Kluyveromyces lactis: one gene and its partner. The protein of the gene in region 1 purifies or fractionates together with the protein of each later gene. This does not show direct contact. Links are inferred from orthologs where the notes say so. Each region holds a gene or a part of one and is shown in the gene's direction. Other genes may lie near its edges.

Region 1 (4,067 bases):
TGGCAGTGTGTAAATCTACTTCTTTGGCCATCTCTCTAACTTCCGGTTTCGTCAAGTGACCAATTGGTAAAATCATTTGATTTAAAGAAGGAACAGAAACTTGTGATAAATAATAACTTTGATCCTTCTGTTGATACAATCCGCGCATCAAGTGTGGTTCAGATCTCTCTGGACCACTATCTCTTCGTAGTATTCGAGCATAATGTCCCATCACCAACCAGTAGTTGTTCTTACCGAACTTCACATCCAGATGATCCATCAACTTTCCGAATTTAACAAACTGATTGCAACCGATGTCAGGATTTGGTGTATAGCCCATACTATATTGTTCTAACATAGGCGCGAACACATTTAGCCAATAATCTTTCTCAAAATTCACAAACTCCACTGGGATGTTCAAATGTTTCGCTACTTTTTCTGCATCCTTCCATTCTTTCTCATAACATGGATCCTCCTCTGGTCTAGTCAATGATTGATCTTTGCCCCAATTTTGCATATATACTCCATGAACGTTCGGGTAAGCTGCGAATAATGCAGCACATACAGAAGAATCTACTCCACCAGACATTCCTACCACAATATTATCAAATTTAGATGGCATGGATTGGACATGATATCCAGGCAACCGTCTTTGTTTGCATAATTCTAAGAATCTTGAAGTGATTTTCGACATTATTCCTCGCAACTTCTGTCCGTCTGCTATATAAAGTGGTGCATCTCCTTCGGGACACTTTTATGGTGCTTTAACAAGATATAGCTGGTACTTATTTCAGTAAACCTTGAGAAGTTATAGTTGTGATCTTCATGTACTTTTTTTTGTCAGATACTGAATTGATTGGCTTGCATAGAAAAAAAAAAACCAAGATAATGTACAGAGGCGAAATTCAGGGAAACAAGTTGAAATAGTTATAGTAAAATTTTAGAGTATGACGTTCTATTTACTTGAGTTTGGTAATATTCGTGACACATAATGTTGAAGTTTTTGTTTTAGGTCACTTGATCTTCTTGGTTTCACACAAAGCGTCAGTTTGATGTTTAATTCTGTTTATGCCGGTCTTGAAAACTATTTCTTTTTCCTTATGAAAATTTTGAAAATACATCACTTTCCAAATAAGAGATGCGATGAGATGAGATGAGATGAGATAGTAACTCATTAATATCAGTAGTGCTAAATATTCTTTTATATCGTATTGATTATAAGGCCAATCATTGTTTGCCATAAATCAACTGTTAGATATCGAACTCAGGTTAATCAAATTTAACAGTAATGGTTGATTCTAGCAAAAGAGCTCTCCCAGCAGAAGATTACTCCTCCGAAGATGAGGATGCTTTCGACATTGCTGGTGATATTGCTTTAAATGCTGATAGTGAAGATAGTGACATTTCTGATGATGATAATGACAATATTGGTTTCCAAGCTGAAGTTCAAGATGTTATCGAGTTTTCTAGTGATGAGGAAGAGAAAGAGAAGAAACCAAAGAAACAAAACAAGAAAGCCAAAGTCAAGGCAGGTCCCATTGTGGACAGTAAGTTCCCAAGTCTTGAGCTTTCGGACGACGAAAAGAAGGCTACGAATGAATCGGATGATGACTTAAACGATTATTTCAACACTACCGCTGATGCTGCGGCTAAACATAAGAAAGGTTCGTTTGCAAGTTTCGGTCTCTCAAAACTAGTATTGATTAATATCTCGAAGAAAGGTTTCAGGCAACCTACACCAATTCAAAGGAAAACCATTCCCCTTATTTTACAAAAGCGTGATATTGTCGGTATGGCACGTACCGGTTCAGGTAAGACTGCTGCTTTTGTGCTTCCTATGATAGAAAAATTAAAGACCCATTCGGCCAAGATTGGTGTTAGAGCCGTTATTTTATCACCATCAAGAGAATTGGCCATTCAAACTCATAGAGTTTTCAAAGAGTTTTCGAAAGGCTCGGATTTACGTTCTATTTTGTTAACAGGTGGTGACTCTTTAGAAGACCAATTCGGTATGATGATGGGGAATCCTGACGTCGTCATTGCTACGCCAGGTAGATTCTTGCATTTAAAAGTTGAAATGAACTTGGATTTGAAATCAGTCGAATATGTTGTATTTGATGAAGCTGATAGATTATTCGAAATGGGTTTCCAGGAACAACTGAATGAACTGCTTGTGGCATTCCCAACTAATAGACAAACATTATTGTTTTCGGCAACATTGCCATCATCATTGGTTGATTTTGCTAAGGCAGGCTTGTCAAACCCAGTATTGGTTAGACTTGATGCTGAAACGAAGATATCAGAAAATTTGGAGATGTTATTTATATCTATAAAAAAGGATGAACGTGAAGCCAATCTATTATATCTGTTACAAGAAGCTATCAAGATGCCTGTTGCCACGGAGTCCCAAATAAAGAAGCTCAAACAGCAGAATGATGCGGATTCTGACAGTGATGACAGCGAAGATGAAAAGAAAAAGAAGGCAAAGAAGGCTAAAAAATCCAAAAGGCGCTTACCGAATGCGAACGAAATGCCATCCGAAAAGGCAACAATCGTTTTCGTTCCAACAAGACATCATGTCGAATACGTCACACAGTTATTGAAGAACTGTGGATACCTAGTATCATATATTTATGGTGCTTTGAATCAACATGCCCGTAAGCAACAGCTCTATAATTTTAGAGCTGGTTTAACATCTATCTTGGTTGTGACAGATGTGGCAGCCAGAGGTGTTGACATTCCTTTGTTAGCGAATGTGATTAATTACTCTTTGCCAGGTTCTTCAAAAATTTTCATTCATCGTGTAGGTAGAACGGCCAGAGCTGGTAATAGAGGTTGGGCCTTTTCGATTGTCTCTGAAAATGAACTACCTTATCTCTTGGATCTAGAATTATTCTTGGGTAAGAAGATCCTTTTAACACCCATGTATGAATCGTCGTGCCAGATACTCAGAAAGAAGGCAGAATCTGAGGGTAATAATAATTTCACCGATCCTAAGGTTTCTTACACCACAAGAATGGTCCTTGGTGCTTGTCCACGTTCTGAGATTGATGGTATGGGTGACCTTTATAGCAATATGATCAAATCTGACTTTGAGTTAAATACTGTGAAAGGTGTTGCCCTGAAAGCCGAAAAACTTTACTTTAGAACCAGGACACCAGCGTCTGCTGAATCCATGAAAAGGTCAAAGGAAATTCTCAGATCAGGATGGGACGAACAGAATATATACTTCGGTAAGAACGCCGAAAAAGAGAAATTGGATTTCTTAGCTAAGTTGCAACACAGAAATAACAAGGAAACTGTATTCGAGTTCGCAAGGAATCCAGACGATGAAATGTCTGTGTTAATGAAGAGAAGGAGGAGACAAATAGCTCCAATTCAAAGGAAGGCAAAAGAAAGACAAGAACTTCTGGAAAAAGAGAGAATGATTGGTTTGAGGCATAGTATAGAAGATGAAATTTTGAAAGGTGAAGACAACGAAGTTGGTTACTCAGTGCCTGATGAGGTATTGAAAGAATTTGAAGATGCCGATGTCTTGTTAGAAGAGCAAGAAAATATTAAGAAGAAGCAGAAGAAAACTTTCAGAGATCCAACTTTTTATCTATCACATTTCGCACCAACTAGTGACATTCAAGATAAACAATTACAGATATCATCTGGTTTCACAAATGATGCTTCCAATGCTGCATTTGATCTAGCCAACGATGACAAGGTACAAGTTCACAAGCAAACAGCTACGGTTAAGTGGGACAAGAAGCGTAAGAAATATGTGAACACTCAAGGTTTGGACAACAAAAAGTACATCATCGGAGAAAGTGGTCAAAAGATTCCTGCAAGTTTCAGATCCGGAAAATTCCAAGATTGGTCTAAGGCAAGAAAAATTGCTCCACTCAAAGTTGGTGCAAGAGAATCCACTATTCCATCGAATCTATTGGCTGATCCGACTTCTCCATCGGAGCGTACGGTTGGCGGTAAATTCAAACACAAGACTCAAAAAGCTCCTAAATTGCCTGATAAACATAGAGACGATTACGCTTTCCAAAAGAAAAAAGTGGAAGCTGCTTTGGAAAGAGGTGTTAGAGTTAAGG
Region 2 (2,774 bases), on another chromosome or scaffold:
ACACTATATGATGACAATAGAGACGTATGGATATTTTAGCCTATTTATACATAGAAAAAGAAGGACCTCAGGTTTACAACTTCTTCTTGGCTCTTTCCCAAGCATTTCTAGATTTCTTATTACCTCTTCTGCTTGTACTATCCTCCAACTTACGCTTGGAGTTGAAGATACTGAAATCTTCACCGGCGATCATATTAACCTTGGCCATGATTTCTCTTTGTTTTTTCATTCTCTTGTCAGTCTTGGATCCGTTGGGGTTCAATCTAGTGAAATTTTCTTCTTCGAATCTTTGAACATCACGTTCACGTTCTGTATCTCTTGCTGTCTTCACACCACCTCTACCATGGTTGACGATATTGGCACCGATAGAAGTTTCCCATTCCGGTTGTTCCGAGGAATCCTTCAAGTATTCTTCCATAGCTTGCATACGAGACCTGCTACTCTTATCCTTATGTTCTTGTGCGTTGAATTTATCCTCGAAGTGATGTTGCTTTGGTGGCAGAACGGCACTGATCTTAGGTGGTCTATAAACGTTATCTTTATCATCCACATCTTCTTCATTGTGAGTACTCTTGACAGCGATTTTCCCCTTGGCTTTCCCTCCAACTGATGTGTTATTGACCATTCCTGAACTGTTCGGCCTATATTGCATCTCTTCTTCACTATCAGAATCTGAGTCTGATACTTCTTCCTGGGAAGCACGTACGTCACTCAGTCCCTGCAATTCGGCTCTTTTCTTGGATTCTTCAACGTCTTTCTCCAGTCTAATGTACGCCCGCGTCAATTTATCCAGCTGGTACCCTAACTTCTTCTCCAAGGGCTTCACACCTCTTTCAAGAACAACTCGTTGTTCCACTGCCCTGACTCTACCCTCATCAACAACCATCTCTTTATTCAATTTCTGTCCCAATACCAACAGAAGCGAATTCAAATACGATAGCATACTCCCATTCTTCAAAGAAAGTAGAGAAACTTTTTCTAATTTATCACCTTTGTGACCTACCACCGCTGAACCTTGGAAAGGATGGGTCTCCTCATCATCATAGACTTCTTCTAACTTATCCAAGCTTTCTCCACAAGATTTCAAAGAATCTCTAATCGTTTTCAAAACAGTTCCTAACTCCTCAGACATGGCTATATTTCCGCTGTAACCCTTGTCAATAGAATGTAATGAGGTTTTATACATCAATAACAGTAGATCGAACCTATGCCAAACCCACACCAGACAACCAAACTTGTATCTGGCTGATACCCATCTCATCTCATCTCATCGCTTGATTCCAAATTTTTTTTTTCACTACGTTTCTTTTCGACATTTCCTATTGAATTTTTTTCTTTCAATGAGAAAAGCATACAAAGACAACTTGAACAACTAGCTCATCGCATGGGTTAACATGTGGTAAGAAGTCCATTCAAGGAGTCCGTGTGTCCGTTTGTGATTTAGAAGTAAGTCATCACCGAACAAGTCGTTCTTACAATAAAACAAAGATGCCTCAAAACGAATATATCGAACAGCACATCAAGCAACATGGTCGTAGATTAGACCACGATGAGAGAAAACGTAAGAGAGAAGCCCGTGAGGCTCATAAGATCTCTGAAAAGGCTCAGAAATTGACTGGTTGGAAGGGTAAGCAATTTGCTAAGAAGCGTTATGCTGAGAAGGTTGCTATGAAGAAGAAGATCCGTGCTCATGAGCAGAGTAAAGTTAAAGGAGGGTCCAAACCGTTGGATGAGAACGGGGAGGCTTTGCCTACTTATTTGTTAGACAGAGAACAGAACAACACTGCAAAGGCTATATCCAGTTCCATCAAGCAGAAGCGTTTGGAGAAGGCTGACAAGTTTTCTGTTCCTTTGCCTAAGGTCAGAGGTATCAGTGAGGAAGAGATGTTCAAAGTTGTTAAGACAGGTAAGTCTAAGTCTAAGGCATGGAAGAGAATGATCACGAAACATACGTTTGTTGGTGAAGGGTTTACAAGAAGGCCTGTGAAGATGGAAAGGATTATCAGACCTAGTGCTTTGAGACAAAAGAAGGCTAATGTGACGCATCCGGAACTTGGAGTCACCGTTTTCTTGCCAATTCTTGCGGTGAAGAAGAATCCTCAATCGCCAATGTACACACAGTTGGGTGTATTAACCAAGGGTACTATTATTGAAGTGAACGTCTCGGAATTAGGTATGGTTACTTCTGGTGGTAAAGTGGTTTGGGGTAAATATGCTCAAATCACGAATGAGCCAGATAGAGACGGTTGTGTCAACGCTGTGCTACTTGTGTAAGAACAAGTACAACCTATTACTACCAAAATTCCTACTCATCTCAATTATTCCCTATTGCATCACCCCCCACTCCGCTACGTTATTGTATATTACTATTTCATTTTAGAACTGAGTTCCCTTATTAGAAAGTACTGGCTAAATCATCATTATTTAATCATATATTTAGCGTTAAATACTGAATTATAGCCAATGAGACTGACAATTTCATGCCTCGCTGCCGTTGAGATACCAGCTATTCCAATGCATTGAACTAATTGCTACTCACACGTCGTGTCAATTGACCTTCTGGACCCTCAGGTTACCCTAAGTATTCATCTTTATTGTTTCACAATAAAGTAGGGTACTACCCTACCAAATCATACCAAATAATTTTATCTATATATATATATATATTCAGTATTATACATACACATTCTTTGCGCTTGATATACACAAACTTACCTTCAAAACAGCACTTATTAGGTCAGATTCTAGCACTGGTCCATATACAGATACTAGCG

The links.
Region 2: the proteins of DBP10 (region 1) and NSA2 purify together in Saccharomyces cerevisiae (affinity purification with mass spectrometry; 3 studies listed by BioGRID). This does not show direct contact. The link is inferred for Kluyveromyces lactis from reciprocal best matches to the Saccharomyces cerevisiae genes DBP10 and NSA2.

The regions. Positions count from the first base shown.
Region 1 is NC_006042.1:2,294,830-2,298,896, reverse strand, and holds the start of DBP10 (ATP-dependent RNA helicase DBP10), read left to right. Parts: upstream 1-1,267; coding exon 1,268-4,067. Other genes in the region: SLM3 (tRNA-5-taurinomethyluridine 2-sulfurtransferase), read right to left, coding at 1-673. UniProt on the Saccharomyces cerevisiae protein: ATP-binding RNA helicase involved in the biogenesis of 60S ribosomal subunits and is required for the normal formation of 25S and 5.8S rRNAs.
Region 2 is NC_006041.1:1,205,334-1,208,107, reverse strand, and holds NSA2 (rRNA-processing protein NSA2), read left to right. Parts: upstream 1-1,488; coding exon 1,489-2,274; downstream 2,275-2,774. Other genes in the region: small subunit rRNA maturation protein LCP5, read right to left, coding at 74-1,261. UniProt on the Saccharomyces cerevisiae protein: Involved in the biogenesis of the 60S ribosomal subunit. May play a part in the quality control of pre-60S particles. Under normal, rapid growth conditions, high levels of NSA2 would allow the progression of pre-60S particles through the ITS2 processing.